Arabidopsis thaliana: one gene and its partner. The protein of the gene in region 1 purifies or fractionates together with the protein of each later gene. This does not show direct contact. Each region holds a gene or a part of one and is shown in the gene's direction. Other genes may lie near its edges. The genes, in order: AT4G22285 and ABH1.

Evidence for each region.
Region 2: the proteins of AT4G22285 (region 1) and ABH1 fractionate together in Arabidopsis thaliana (co-fractionation; one large-scale study listed by BioGRID). This does not show direct contact.

The regions. Positions count from the first base shown.
Region 1 is NC_003075.7:11,777,152-11,784,617, reverse strand, and holds AT4G22285 (Ubiquitin C-terminal hydrolases superfamily protein), read left to right. Parts: upstream 1-1,922; 5' UTR 1,923-2,040; intron 2,041-2,460; 5' UTR 2,461-2,719; coding exon 2,720-3,079; intron 3,080-3,192; coding exon 3,193-3,437; intron 3,438-3,713; coding exon 3,714-3,798; intron 3,799-3,871; coding exon 3,872-4,057; intron 4,058-4,148; coding exon 4,149-4,316; intron 4,317-4,411; coding exon 4,412-4,549; intron 4,550-4,925; coding exon 4,926-5,097; intron 5,098-5,172; coding exon 5,173-5,347; intron 5,348-5,458; coding exon 5,459-5,555; 3' UTR 5,556-5,869; downstream 5,870-7,466. Other genes in the region: AT4G22290 (Ubiquitin-specific protease family C19-related protein), read left to right, coding at 210-365, 497-708, 1,227-1,419; AT4G22280 (F-box/RNI-like superfamily protein), read left to right, coding at 7,101-7,466.
Region 2 is NC_003071.7:5,634,525-5,643,127, forward strand, and holds ABH1 (ARM repeat superfamily protein), read left to right. Parts: upstream 1-2,359; 5' UTR 2,360-2,528; coding exon 2,529-2,612; intron 2,613-2,696; coding exon 2,697-2,756; intron 2,757-2,855; coding exon 2,856-2,912; intron 2,913-3,397; coding exon 3,398-3,469; intron 3,470-3,577; coding exon 3,578-3,640; intron 3,641-3,813; coding exon 3,814-3,990; intron 3,991-4,174; coding exon 4,175-4,303; intron 4,304-4,526; coding exon 4,527-4,593; intron 4,594-4,772; coding exon 4,773-4,972; intron 4,973-5,187; coding exon 5,188-5,258; intron 5,259-5,720; coding exon 5,721-5,805; intron 5,806-5,951; coding exon 5,952-6,020; intron 6,021-6,111; coding exon 6,112-6,230; intron 6,231-6,537; coding exon 6,538-6,676; intron 6,677-6,877; coding exon 6,878-7,378; intron 7,379-7,468; coding exon 7,469-7,768; intron 7,769-7,852; coding exon 7,853-8,098; intron 8,099-8,181; coding exon 8,182-8,289; 3' UTR 8,290-8,542; downstream 8,543-8,603. UniProt on the Arabidopsis thaliana protein: Component of the cap-binding complex (CBC), which binds cotranscriptionally to the 5'-cap of pre-mRNAs and is involved in various processes such as pre-mRNA splicing and RNA-mediated gene silencing (RNAi) by microRNAs (miRNAs).

The DNA.
Region 1 (7,466 bases):
TGAAATTAGACCATTTATAATTCGACAAATTGGAGTCACGGGTATTTTTGTATTGTCGATTGGATTACAGTCGTCAACAGCTAGCTTAATGCGTTGGACAGACCATTTATATTGTCTGAATTAACAATGTTGATGTAGATATGGTAGTGTGGTCACTGGTGTGTCTTTTATTTGCTGGAAATGTTAAAACTTTTGTTATGTTTTTGTAGGTTGTGACATGTGGAAGCATTCCTTTGGAATCTTCGTTCCAAAGAACACCAAGATGCGTTTATGTATCCACGGAGTTGTATGAATACAAAGGTTTTGGTGGGAAATCCGCAAACCCAAAACATCGATGCTTTTCTTGGGGATCTAGACATGCAGAGGTTAGTTTCTTTTTCTCCTCTTGCAAAAGGACCATTTGTCTCAGTGATTTGGTCAAAGTTTTCAGATCTTATATGACAAGAAAAGATGGTGAAGTTTGATGATTCTTGTTGTGGTTATATTTCTTTGGCAGAAATATGTGTCGGATTTTTACATCTCGGATTTCCAATCTGGATTGCGAGCACTAGTAAAAGCAGGATATGGATCAAAAGTTTCTCCTTTTGTCAAACCGGCGACAGTGGCTAATGTAACAACGCAGAACAAAGATTTATCTCCCAGCTTCTTAAAGTGGCTGTCAGATCGCAACCTCTCAGCTGATGACCGTGTTATGCGTCTCAAAGAAGGGTATGTTATATTCAACACGCATCTTAAACTGTTCTTCGGGTTGCACGAAGTATCTTAGCCAAAATCTAAAAATAACGTTATTAGAGTCACTATCCAAACCTTGGATCCTTATTTTACCCAAATTACAACCTTTTAAACCCTGATTTCTTTAGTAGAATGGGAAGTATTAAACTGTTGATGTAGGCGTTTACTTTGACTGGTACCGTTGGTTATTCTTCCACATTAAAAGTCACAGTAATGGAAAAAGATGTGATGAGACATGTATTGTAGGAAGAAATCCAGCAACTATTGTCAACGTTAACGGCTTAAACATCTCACATCAGTGCATGATAAGTCTGAAGTTAAAGGGCTTAGAAGTTTGAATTAAGTCTAAAGCTAATGAGACCCAAAAGTCACCGTTTCTAGTACAAATGATCGTTTTTAGTACACAAGAAAGCTCATTGGTTTCACTTTTGCTGTCAAAGAGAATCCCTTTGTTACTGATTTAAAATCATATTTGATTGTGTGTGATGCAACAGATACATAAAAGAAGGAAGCACAGTGAGCGTGATGGGGATGGTAAGAAGGCACGACAACGTTCTGATGATAGTTCCTCCGGCAGAAGCAGTCTCCAGTGGGTGCCGGTGGTGGCACTGCCTCTTCCCAACCTACGCAGATGGCTTAATCATAACCTGCGACGATAATCAAAACGCTGATGTCATTCCTGTCTGAAACCAATATGTATGTAATGCTTCTTTTGCCCGATATTCAAATATAAAAATGCTTAAACAGTTAGGCTCACGAGACTGAAGGAAGGAAGAGAAGAGAAGAGAAGAGAGGGAATGAGAGGACAGCCAAATTGGTTCAAAAAGAAAACCAAATAGGCTTTGCCTTTTACCTTATTAGCTTTTGTTTTTCTTTCTTAATTCTGTTTTTTTTTTTTGCCCCTTGTATGGGGTTTATGTTTGTGTACATAGAGCCCCAAAGTGTAAATGCTCTTTTCTGTTAAAATAATTATTATGTCCTATCCACTATTCTTATCCACCAAGGAAACCTTAGGCATCTCTGCAATAGGTGCATGCAATGTTGTGCTAGTAAACAAGTAAGCATGAAAGCCGCAGAGAAGCTGATGACAACAAAGCCCATGTAGAAGCCTTTGATTGGTTTCCATAGTGGAAACTTAAAACTTAAAGCCCAAATGTGGAAAATAAAAGACAGCCCAAAACTTACCCATTTAATTTACGGTCTCTCACTCTGCTTGTGAATAGCGAAAACACAAAACCCCAAACTCTCTCTACGAAGGCGGATGCACGCTTCTCTGTCTCCCTCCACTCTCGAGTCTCGTCCCCTCTGGTCAGTTTTATGCTCACCGTATGACCGATTAATATCGATTATTGGTTGATCTCATCCCCCTTATAGGCTCACATGTTTTGATAGTAATGAATTGAATTATCAATTATGGGTTTGGGATTGAATTCTTTGTTTTTTTAGTAAAGCACAACACTTTATGTTAGATTCTCTATCTGCTTTCATTGATGTTAGCTGATGGGTTTGTCCAAATTTCACTCTTTTTTTGTTATGTAATGAAATTGAGAATTATGGTTCTGAGCTAGGATCCATCCTTTCTTTGTAAAGGAGTGTACTTTATCTTAGATTCTGCATTGATTTCAGCTGGTTGGTTTGTCCAAGTTTCATTCTTTTTCTGATGGAAGTATCTTTTCAGTTTTACTCATGTTTACTTATCTCACAGTGGCTTTTTTGTTTTGTTTGCAGTGTGTGATTATCTTCTTTGGTGTTGTTGATGCTGGAGATCTCTTATTCAGATTGATCACGCCTGAAAGGTTTATTAGGATTTGGCAAAAGGATGGATAGAATCAACGGTCTATCAGATCTCTTCTGATTTGAATTCTAGGGCGTTTGTTTGGAAGAATCATTGCTTCTTTGGTTGAGGATCTTTGTGAAACGCTGGGATTTTGTGTTCTAGACTTCTAGGGTTTTTGAAGCAAGCTGTAGCATAAGGAAAATTTTGAGAATGAAAGGTGAAAGAGAAGTTAAGAATGGTGTTTCTGAGGAAGAGAGAGAAGTGAAGAGGAAGAGAGTGATGGAACGGTCTGATTCACCACCTCCACCACTAGGTTTCAACAATCCTCTTCTGCCGTTGGCTAATACTTACGATGATGATGATGAGGAAGAGGAGAACGAGCAGAAGAAATCGCAAGCTCGTGGTAATGGAGTTGCGAAAGGGGAGGGAAATGGTAACAAAGTGAAAGGAGAAGCTCAAGAAGAGGTCGATGACGACGAAGATGATGATGTCTCGAAGGGTAAGGGAAAGCATTCACGCCATGTTGAAGTTCGCCGTGATTGTCCTTATCTTGATACCGTTAATCGTCAGGTAATTAATTTCTTGATTGTAATCTTTGATCAATGGTTATGTTTCTGCTGTCTTCATTGTATAATCGTTTTTGGTGTTGAGTATCTAAACTCATGTTGTATGTTGAATTTCAGGTGTTGGATTTTGATTTTGAGAGGTTTTGCTCTGTGTCCTTGTCAAATCTGAATGTGTATGCGTGTCTTGTTTGTGGGAAGTACTTCCAAGGAAGAAGCCAGAAGTCTCATGCTTATACACATAGCTTGGAAGCAGGACACCACGTTTACATCAATCTTCTGACAGAGAAGGTTTATTGTCTTCCTGATAGTTACGAGATCAATGACCCTTCTTTGGATGACATTCGCCATGTTTTAAACCCAAGGTATATTAGATCTTGTGACTACTACTTCATAGTTCTTACTGCATTTTGTGTATTGATTTGTGAACATGTGAGCCTTTGCACGTAGTTAACAACAACAAAATTGCTTTGACTATTATCTCAATCAGTTTCTTCTTGCTAGTTCTCTGTATCATCTACCATCTATTTATATTTTTATTCTTGATAGCTTGAACATATTACTCTTCTTTCATGTCTTGTCAAATTTTCTTTGATTTTACAGTTCCTTTTTATGAAGGCTTCGGTGTTATCCATTTACAGGTTTAGTAGAGCACAAGTAAACGAGCTTGACAAGAATAGGCAGTGGTCTAGGGCTCTTGATGGCTCCGACTATCTTCCAGGAATGGTAATCCTTTCTCTTTGATTACACTTGATCTTGAAATTAATGTCTCCTAAAGGTTAAGCTTGTAAATATGTAGGTGGGGTTGAACAACATACAAAAGACAGAGTTTGTGAATGTTACAATCCAGTCGTTGATGAGAGTTACTCCTCTAAGGAATTTCTTCCTCATTCCTGAAAATTATCAGCACTGCAAGTCTCCTCTTGTTCACCGTTTTGGGGAACTAACTCGCAAGATTTGGCATGCTCGAAACTTTAAAGGACAAGTCTGACTCAATTTATGCCTCTCACTTTTAGTTTTTGTTATGCCCTCACCTGTTGAGGACCTCGCTAATTTAAGTCACCTTGCATCAACAGGTGAGTCCACATGAATTCTTGCAAGCTGTCATGAAAGCCAGCAAGAAACGGTTTAGGATTGGCCAACAATCAGATCCAGTAGAGTTTATGTCGTGGCTCCTCAACACTTTGCACATGGATCTTAGAACTTCAAAGGACGCCAGCAGTATCATCCACAAGTGCTTCCAGGTATGTGTCAGTCCTTTGACATGTCAACCTAAATGCAGTTTGATATAATTGCTTACAAAAAGCTGCATCTTCATGTAACCTTCTAACCATTATAGGGTGAGTTGGAGGTTGTGAAAGAGTTTCAAGGCAATGAAAACAAAGAAATCTCCAGGATGTCTTTTCTGATGCTCGGTCTAGATTTGCCACCGCCTCCTCTTTTCAAAGATGTCATGGAGAAAAACATTATTCCGCAGGTATATGGCTATTTCAAATCTTGAACGTCTTGCTACTCTGTGCCATTTGAAAAATGCATTTCAGTAAGGGGAACATTTTGATCAATAAGATAACGTGAAGTGCTAGAAAACTTATAATTCTCAATATAATAATGTCACATTTGGTTGAGATACAATAAAGGGATTCTTAAATAGTGCCATTGCAAATTTACTGTCCTGGAGTAAACTGTCTTTTTCGAATCTAGTTTATGACTTGGGAAAGTGTAGAATTCTCTGAGTCCTTGGTTGTTTGGAGCTCCTGTAGCCTTTATGGCTTGCTACCTCGTATATGCGTCTTAGAGTGTTTAGTTTGCAAAGTGAGGTTAGCAGAAACTAATTTCTTTGATGTTTGGGTCAGGTTGCTCTATTTGATTTATTGAAGAAGTTTGATGGAGAAACTGTGACAGAGGTGGTTCGGCCTAAGCTGGCCAGAATGAGATACCGTGTAATCAAATCTCCTCGTTACTTGATGTTCCATATGGTTCGGTTCAAGAAGAATAACTTCTTCAAAGAGAAGAACCCTACCTTGGGTGAGTCTATTTGGAATTTTTGTGACGTTCATGTTGTATAAGGATCCCTAATGCCAATTTTTTCCTATGCCACAGTTAACTTCCCAGTGAAGGACATGGAGCTGAGGGATTACATACCATCATTGCCTAGAGCACCAGAAGGCGAGAATGTGTGTTCAAAGTATAATCTAATCGCTAACATTGTACATGATGGTAAGCCTGAGGACGGATACTTCAGAGTCTTTGTGCAGCGCAAGTCACAAGAACTATGGTAAGCTTTCTCAATCATTAACTATTATTGTGTTTCATGTTCACAAATGCATGATCTAGATCTGTGCATAAGAAAGACATAAATTCATTTGGGGGATAATGTCCATTGCAGGTACGAGATGCAGGATCTTCATGTTGCAGAGACACTTCCCCAGATGGTAGAACTATCGGAAGCATACATGCAGATATATGAGCAGGAGGAGGAATAGAGCACTGGAAACAAACTGACTCCATCTGGTTTTAAGAGTAAAAGTGACCAGTTTAATCTTGGATTGAGGAGGAATGAGATTAGAACTCAAAAAGGGGATTCTTGAACCTCTTTTTTAAGGATAGAGAGAGAGCCTGTTGTTGCTAGTGATTCATCATAATGAAAAACCTTGGTAAAAAAACGCATATTGTATGAGTTTTGGGAAGAGCTTTTGGTAAAAAGTCTTCAAATTCTGCAACTTTTGAAATTTTGTAGTAAAATACACATTTGACTTTTGAGTTTCCATTTCCAAAAAATATCTTAAAAAGAAGTGTGTGTTTTTCTAATTTATTTGTATCTTAATACACAACCTCTCAGCCGATGACCGTGTCATGCGTCTCAAAGAAGGGTATGCTATATTCAACACGCATCTTAAACTGTTATTCGGGTTGCACCAAGTATCTTAGCCAAAATCTAAAAAGAACCTTCTATTAGAGTCACTATCCAAACCTTGGATCATTATTTTACCCAAATTAGATACTATCTTTAATAGTATATAGACTGGTTTATGTATACACTATCAATCTTTAAACCCTGAGTACTTCAGTAGAATGGGAAGTATTAGACTGTTGATGTAGGCGTTTATTTTGACTGGTATCATTGGATTTTCTTCCACAGTAATGGAAAAGGATGTGATGACTGATGAGACATGTATTGTGGGAAGAAATCCAGCAACTATTGTCAACGTTAACGGCTTAAATATCTCACATCAGTGCATGATAAGTCTGAAGTTAAAGGTGCAATGTTGTGCTAGTAAACAACAAAGCCCATGTAGAAGCCTTTGATTGGTTTCCATAGTGGAAACTTAAATCTTAAAGCCCAAAAGTGGAAAATAAAAGACAGCCCAAAACTTACCCATTTAATGTGAAAAGTGAAAACACAAAACCCCAAACTCTCTCTACGAAGGCGGATGCACGCTTCTCTGTCTCCCTCCACTCTCGAGTCTCGTCCCCTCTGGTCAGTTTTATGCTCACCGTATGACTGATATGGTTGGTGTTTGCATTGAATTATCAAGTATTGGTTGATCTCATCCCCCTTATAGGCTCACATGTTTTGATAGTAGTGAATTGAATTATCAATTATGGGTTTGGGAGAGAATTCTTTGGTTTTTTAGTAAAGCTCAACACATTATTTTAGATTCTGCATCTGCTTCCATTGATGTTAGCTGATGTGTTTGTCCAAATTTCACTCTTTTTTTTTTTACTGTAATGAATTGAGAATTATGGTTCTGAGCTAGGATCCATCCTTTCTTTGTAAAGGAGTGTACTTTATCTTAGATTCTGCATTGATTTCAGCTGGTTGGTTTGTCCAAGTTTCATTCTTTTTCTGATGGCAGTATCTTTTCAGTTTTACTCATGTTTACTTATCTCACAGTGGCTTTTTTGTTTTGTTTTGTTTTGTTTTGTTTTGTTTGCAGTGTGTGATTATCTTCTTTGGTGTTGTTGATGCTGGAGATCTCTTATTCAGATTGATCACGCCTGAAAGGTTTATTAGGATTTGGCAAAGGATGGATAGGATCAACGGTCTATCAGATGATATTATTTGCCACATTCTATCTCTCCTTTCGTTCAAAGAGGCCACCTCTACATCTGTCCTCTCAATGCGATGGCGTTATTTGTTTGCCTTCAGACCAAATCTCTGTTTAGATGATCAAGAAGTGGGTGGAGGAGACAGTTTCATCGATTTTGTGGACAGAGTATTGGTTGTGACAGGTAATTTCCCCATAAGGAGAATCTCAATAAAATGTCGTATGAGTATCGACACCGGTCATGTCACCCGCTGGATGGTTGACGTGCTGGAACATGGTGTCTCATATCTTGATATTGACATAATTTCCGAAGACGACATCGGTTTCGTGCCTCTTGAGATCTTC
Region 2 (8,603 bases), on another chromosome or scaffold:
GATTTTTTTCCATACACTAATAGCTCTTCGACATTCAATAAGACTAAAGATAGAGGAGTGAGAACCTTGAGACATTGCATTGGTCCAAGAGTTGGAAATCACTTGAATACAAGAAGGATCATCAGCTATTCTTTTGTCATAACAAAACTGTCCACGAAACAACTCGTTATCATTAATAAACTTGACTAAAACAGGACGATGGTCAGATCCAAATCTCTCAGAAACCACTGGTGAGAATTTGGAAACAAAGAAAACCAAGAGGAATTCCCAAAGCATCTATCCAATCTACACTGAATCCATTGACCATTTCTAGTCCCTCCCCAAGTAAAGCCATTGCTTGTACTACCTAGTTCATGCATATCACAAGTATTCAACATGTCTTGAAAAGATTGAAACGAAGAAGGTACTCTTCTCGGACCCCTCTCTTTCCCGTTTTCGACTTAATATCATTGAAGTCACCTATCATACACCAAGCTTGCTTCCGATGTGATCCAAGACTACACAACTTATCCCAAACCTAAGGCCTAAGATATGTCACCAGATGCCCATAAACACAAGAAACAAAGCATACTTTATTTCTAGAAGAACACTGAAGATCCAAAAGATGTTTATCATCAAAAAGAATCTCAATGTCCAAATGGCTTTTCCAAAAGATTGCTAAGCCACCACTTCTCCCTTGAGGTTCTATTGTATACATATAGTTATAACCAAGCCAATCAATAACTTTTGAAACAAACTCGTCAGGATTCATAGTCTCCATGAAGAATAAAATGTCCGAGATATGATTTTTTTTCATCTCCTTAAGGTGTCGAATTGTCCAAGGATTCCTCAAGCCTTGACAATTCCAACTAAGGACGCCTTACTGATCCAACGGTGGTTCACTTGGAACCACCGTATTCTTGTCTCTCTTGAAACTTTGAGCTTCTGTAATGTCTGAGGGTTTTCTTTTCCTTTTGAACACCTTTTCAAAATGAGGAGAGGCAGGAGACTGAATAACCTTATTCTTCAGAGACAGCTCATTAACTAGTTTTTCTTTCCTGAACTGAAAAGGAGTGAAATCCTGCATTATATGATGTTTAAACCCTGAAGTGGAGGAACTAGCCTCACCAACACATGTGGTAAATCCAGTACTAATGTCCAAATCTAGCATCTCAGCTAACAAAGTATTCTCTGGATGACTATCAATTGCAACAGTAGCTGATAGAGGATTTGCTGGCAAAGCATCTACCCTTCCTTTGGGAGCAATTGACTGAAAGGGAAACTCAGCCAGCCTCGGTAAAAACATCTTCTTCTGTTTGCCTTTCTCTTGTAATGATCTCACATCATGTTTGATGGAATCTAAGACTTTGGATGGGCATCTATTTTTATCATGAGTTAATCTTTGACACAAGAAACATCTCTTTCTAATCTGTTCATAGTCAAAAGAAATTGTGACAACTTCACCAGATGGAAGTTGTACCTCTTTATTGTTACGAAGTGGATTGGCGACATGAAACAAAACCCGAACACGAACATAGTCCTGAAACTGTGATTTTTCAGAGTCCATCACCACCTCCTTCACTTCCCCAATACAGCTCGTGATCTCTTTAATTGTGTCCTGAGTATAATAGTTCACCGAAATATTCCTCACTCGACCCCAGATTGGAAGAAAATTCAGATAATCAATTGGAGGATTCTCAATCCATCTATCCATGACTACACCCCAATTTATCTTCTGTCCAAACTCCAATTTTCATAATTTCTTCTAAATCTTCCTCAGATTTGAAGAAAAATTGGAATCGATCCTTTGAGAGAGCAACACCTCTAACCCGAGAAGAAATTCTCCAAATTCGTGGCATATCTAATATCCAATTAGACATCCTTTGATTCTCTAGATTCAAAAACCTACCCAACTAACGACAGTTGTTTCTGTTAATTGAACAAAAGCGCGGTTGATCAGAAAGAATCAGAGGCTTATTGTCTTAAATCGACATATTCTGAATGGCTTTATCCAGCTCCATGATGAGATCCTGATAGAGAGTAAACAACTTTCCCGAACTCGTCAAACCTGATTTGCAGGAAACAAACTCCAAGAGAAAAAACAGTGAAGAAATCCGAGTAATTCAGATGATAACCAACACAGAACTGAGAATCACAAAGCAAACTCTCGTAACAGAGAAAGAGTCAGAACTACCAAAAATCCGAGGAAGAAAACAACAATTTAGACCGGACCGAACACGTAAATATTTCTGGTAGAAGCTCCGTTCAGAATAGAACACCTGAGAGAAAAGTCTTTAGGCTCCAAATTAACTGGGACGACTATTGTTTTAACGGCTAGTTTCAGCTACTAAGAGAAAGAAGAGAGAGAAAAACTTTTTGTCAAACTCTTTTTGTGAACTCCTTTTCTTAGATGACAACACTTATGAGAAAAAAAAAAAAAAATTAGTTTTGACGAGACACGGACATAAAAAAAAAAACTAGGGCAGAGTGACTGATACCAAAGGAGAAACAACAAAGAGACGAACTGAAGAAAAACCTCTCGGAAGAAGATGAGCAATTGGAAAACTCTTCTCCTTCGCATCGGCGAAAAGGGACCTGAGTACGGCACTTCCTCCGACTACAAAGACCACATCGTCAGTATCTCTCTCTCGATTCATCCTCGCTCTTAAACCCTAATTTTCTCACTACTCAAAACTTTTCCGATTCTCTATATACAGGAGACTTGTTTCGGTGTCATTCGTAGAGAAATCGAGCGTTCTGGAGATCAAGTTTTGCCTGTAAGTGACTTCGAGCCTTCAATTTTAGGATCTGTTGTGATGTATCTCTGTGGATATTATTATTGTGTGTTCTCATTATTTTTGTTTTCGTCTTAACAGTTTCTACTACAATGTGCTGAACAATTGCCTCATAAGATTCCTTTGTATGGGACTTTGGTAAGTCTCTTATAAACTAGTTACCTTGGCTTTTTCATTTCTGGGTATGTGTTGGATGTTGGGCTTGCATTTAGATGTGTTATATATGTGGAGGTTTTGATTGAGTATGTTATGGTATCTGTGAACTGATTCTTATCGAAGAATAATTAGCTCGAAGCAATAACGGAAGGCATTTAACTTGAAACAAATGAACACTTCAGAAACACAAATAATAGTGGAAATGCCCTTAAGGTGGATCATTTTGTGTCTATTATATCATATATAACATGTTGTAGGAATCTATTTATTCATAGTATTCATCAATATTTGCTAACTTCTGAGTAATAAAGAATGCTTGAATATTTTCTGTGTATAATTCTTATCTGTGTAAGTAGCATTTGGATCTATTTTTGAACTGAGATACCCTGTTCCCTGTTATAAATTAGTTCGATTTAATCTGATACACATACTTCGAAGTTTGATGGATGTCTTTCCACATGTTTAAGATTGGTTTGTTGAACTTGGAGAATGAAGATTTTGTCCAGAAGCTAGTAGAAAGTGTCCACGCTAATTTCCAGGTGAATAATCTAATCTGTACATCAAAGGCCAAGGATAAATTGATAACATAAGTTTTCTCAGTTACTTTTGTTTCTAATGTGACTGTTTTTCTTGGTCAAACATGCCAGGTCGCTTTAGATTCTGGCAACTGCAACAGTATCCGTATATTGCTTCGCTTTATGACTTCCCTGGTATGGTTGCTAATCATGTTTCATGGTTGCTTCGTCTATTTAATATGTTAGTTCATGTTTCTAATACACAGAAAGCGTCTAAAAAATAAAAGTGCGAAGTATATAGAACAGTATTTGTGAAAATTTTGAGATGTTTTGTCTATTTTCTAACATGTTTTAGTTGGGTTCTTTAGTTGTGCAGTAAGGTTATTCAACCTGCTTCTTTGATTGTCGTCTTCGAAACATTGCTATCATCTGCTGCCACTACTGTGGATGAAGAGAAAGGAAATCCATCATGGCAGCCACAAGCTGACTTTTACGTTATATGCATCTTGTCCAGCCTCCCGTGGGGAGGATCAGAACTCGCTGAGGTACTGCTCTTGGACTAAATACATTCTAGAAATTATTTACATTGAAGGCTATTAGAATACTGGATATGCGTTTCCAATTTTATAATGATGTCATCCTTGTTGGATCTGCAACCAACTTTGTTAGTCTGCTTTCATATCTATTATCTTAACTTGTATGGCCGCTGAATTTCCCTTTGGTTTGCAGCAAGTTCCTGATGAGATTGAAAGAGTGTTAGTTGGGATACAAGCTTATTTGAGCATCCGAAAGAATTCTTCCACCTCTGGGTTAAACTTTTTTCACAACGGAGAATTTGAAAGCAGCCTTGCAGAGAAGGTTTGCCTTTTAGTGTTTAATTCTTGAAGTTGTTGTATTTGCTTTGTGTTAGCTGCCCCTCTGATTTTGTTTCGGTAGATGTCTTGGCAAATGTATAAATAAGATGCATGGATGTGACGTTTCATTTCTGCTTTTGTTTGAGATAGATATCTGTTGAATTTTGTATCATGGTGTGATAACTTTTGGTCTGCGTCATTCGTCTTTCTCATTTGTGTCTCGTTAGGATTTCGTGGAGGATCTATTGGATCGAATTCAGTCTCTGGCTTCCAATGGATGGAAACTTGAAAGCGGTATGCTTATTTTGTCAACTTCTCATATCTCTTTGTATTACAAGATTGCAATCTTCTACGAACCCTCTCTTTTAATATCCTTATCTACCTTGTTTGACTTACAAATTGATCAGTTCATATGACTAGAGATATTAGTTGTATATTACAATTGACAATTTCATGCATATTCAATGTGCTAGTACCTAGGCCTCATCTCTCGTTTGAAGCTCAACTCGTTGCTGGAAAGTTTCATGAGCTACGTCCCATTAAATGTATGGAACAACCGAGTCCACCTTCTGATCATTCGAGGGCATACAGTGGCAAGCAAAAGCATGATGCATTGACGAGATATCCCCAGAGAATTCGTAGGTTGAATATATTTCCAGCTAATAAAATGGAGGTAATATTCTGGTTTTTGATGTCATTGTTTATCTGAATAGGACATATTTCATGCTAATGGAAGCTTATTATACTTGCTACCTTTTCAGTCGTCAACATTTTTCTTTTTTCTAACCTATTATATTTGTAGATTGATATATGGGTTATATGGTGTCCTTTTGTATTCCTTTTCTTTGTCTACCCTTTCTTCTGATTCTGTAACTATCAAACTCGCAGGATGTACAACCAATTGATCGTTTTGTCGTGGAGGAGTATTTGCTGGATGTGCTCTTCTATTTGAATGGATGGTGTGTATTTTCCCAAAGCTTGTGTTCTTTTGACGTTTTTGTATGTTTCTTCTATATTTTTCTTGCACAGTGGTCGTCCATTCATGCTGGTTTTGGTGTAGATCTTGGTTTTTGTCCCCCAACCATAGCAAATTAGTCACGTGTTTTCTAAATTATTAACCTTAGAGTATGGTGTATTAATCTAAGTTCATGACTTACTCTTTGAATAATATGGTCACTGATTCAGCTGGGCGACTAATTGGCTACTACTAAGGGCTAGTGTTTTTGCGTTGAGTATCTAGTTGAACCTAGCATATACTTATTTAAGTCATTATTATGGTTGTAGACTTGCCTAGCATATACATGTTTTCTAATCAACATCTTAGCTTATGCTAAGTCTCTTTCTTTCTGGTTACTAAATTTTGTTTGCCTTCTTAAATTATATAGAATTTTGTTTCACTAATTAATTTATTGCAAAGCTAGTCGGAAGGAGTGTGCATCCTACATGGCTAATCTTCCTGTTACATTTCGGTACGAGTATCTTATGGCAGAGACACTATTTTCTCAGGTAACTTCTGTTGTATAAATTTTGGGATTATCTCTCTAGTGAGTATTCACGTTGTAATATAAAAGCATACGTTTCTGGCAGATTATACCAATTAATTCCAAGATCTGTGATTTTTAAATATAACAATTGTATCTACTGTTTTTCAGATACTGCTGCTACCCCAGCCACCATTCAAGACTCTTTATTATACACTCGTGATTATGGATCTTTGTAAGGTACAAAGGATTATACTGTTCATCCGATGGTTTTTAAATCCCTGCTGTTATTTCTTTTTTCAACCTGATTCCAAATATTCAATTAATTTAGGCTCTTCCGGGTGCCTTTCCTGCTGTTGTTGCTGGCGCTGTTCGTGCACTATTTGAGAAAATATCCGACTTAGACATGGAATCCAGGACGCGTCTTATCCTCTGGTTTTCTCACCACTTGTAAGTATATAATTTCATATTTCTTACCTCTTGATTTTTTGTAATCTGGAAAAGGTGCTTTATTGTCGAATGTTTGGTGAATGTTCCATATATGTTAGAAAGTTACCTAGCTTATAAAATATGGATTATTGAAACATAAAATATGGATTTTCAGTCAGCATTACTGACGATTCGTTTACATGATACAGTGGTCGTGTTTGAGTCTTACTTTCTCGATTAATTGAGAAATATGTTATTCATCACATGAAGTTGATTACGTATTTCGTTTTGCTCTCTACTCTCATGTTGATAACTCCATGCTTAACAGATCCAACTTCCAATTCATCTGGCCGTGGGAAGAGTGGGCTTTTGTGTTGGATCTTCCCAAGTGGGCCCCTAAGCGTGTATTTGTTCAGGAGATTTTGCAAAGAGAAGTACGCTTGTCTTACTGGGATAAAATTAAGCAGGTAACAGATCGTCAGATATCCTAATAGCTGCCAAACTTAAGCATCAGATATACTTTTCTCTTAGCCTAGGGTTATTTGTCTTATTCCATTTTGTGGGGGATCAATGTTTCATCTTGTTATCCACATGGATATATCATTCCAAACTTAAGCATCAGATATCCTTCCTCAGGCTATATTGTTTTTTCTATGTGTGTCTAACAGAGCATTGAGAATGCGACTGCCCTAGAAGAATTACTTCCTCCAAAAGCTGGTCCGAATTTTATGTATTCCTTGGAAGAAGGTAAAGAGAAAACAGAAGAACAGCAATTGTCAGCCGAATTGAGCAGGAAGGTCAAGGAAAAACAAACCGCACGTGACATGATAGTGTGGATTGAAGAAACGATATATCCAGTTCATGGTTTTGAAGTTACTCTTACAATAGTTGTACAGACCTTACTTGACATCGGATCAAAAAGTTTCACTCATTTGGTCACTGTCCTGGAGCGATATGGCCAAGTATTTTCAAAGCTTTGTCCTGATAACGATAAGCAGGTGATGCTATTATCTCAAGTGAGTACATACTGGAAAAACAATGTACAAATGACGGCGGTGGCAATTGATAGGATGATGGGTTATAGACTAGTATCTAATCAGGCAATTGTTAGATGGGTGTTCTCTCCAGAAAATGTTGATCAGTTTCATGTGTCTGATCAGCCATGGGAGGTCAGTTGCGTTTTAACAGAAGTATATTTATTTTCTACACTCTGCAGAGCAAGTTTGTTTATCTTCGTAAATCTGTTTCTGTCTCTGCAGATACTTGGCAATGCTCTTAACAAGACTTATAACCGTATCTCTGATTTGAGGAAAGATATATCAAACATTACGAAAAATGTTTTGGTTGCTGAGAAAGCTTCAGCCAATGCACGAGTAGAGTTGGAGGCTGCTGAGAGCAAACTTTCCCTAGTGGAAGGTGAACCCGTTCTTGGTGAGAATCCAGCGAAGATGAAGCGTTTAAAATCAACAGTGGAGAAGACAGGGGAAGCGGAGTTATCTCTTCGGGAGTCCCTAGAGGCAAAAGAGGCTCTTCTTAACAGAGCTCTCTCTGAGACCGAGGTATTATATATTAGTTTAATGCAGCACATGATCTTATTATTTCCTTTTATCTACTAAAAGCTAATTGAGTTGACTTGTGCATAGGTTTTACTGCTCTTGCTGTTCCAAAGTTTCTTAGGTGTACTGAAGGAACGGCTCCCAGATCCAACTAAAGTGAGATCAGTGCAGGATCTAAAATCTATAGGTGCTGAAGATGACAAGCCATCTGCGATGGACGTGGACAGCGAGAATGGAAACCCAAAGAAGAGTTGCGAAGTCGGTGAGAGAGAACAGTGGTGCTTATCAACACTTGGCTATCTCACGGCATTTACAAGGCAATATGCGAGCGAGGTAAAAAATAACTTAATAGTTGGGATGTTGTTGTAAGAGCTTTAGTAGATTGAATATTGACTTGTTTCACCATGTTCTTGTAGATATGGCCTCACATGGAGAAGTTGGAGTCAGAAGTGTTCTCGGGTGAAGATGTGCATCCTCTCTTTCTCCAAGCCATATCTTCTGCACTTCAATTCCCATTACATTAATCTTCCTCTTTCAATCTCAATCAAACCTGTCTCTTTTGTTTTTTGTTATGAGATTCTGATTCTGACATCAAGTTATTAGGAAATTGAAAAGAGTCAAAAAACAAGAGTTTAAACTTTTAACACCAGTCTTGTTTCTGGAGCTCGTTTCTCAGAGTGGCCTACGCAAATATCGAAAGCATTTCATTTACCAAAAAGGGAACTGCATGTTCCGATTTGAGCACAATTGAGCAACCGTACTATAAAATTGTCTGCTTATGAGTAACAATATTAATTTATTGTAAGAAATTTATTATACTAAGAAGTTGAAGACAAAC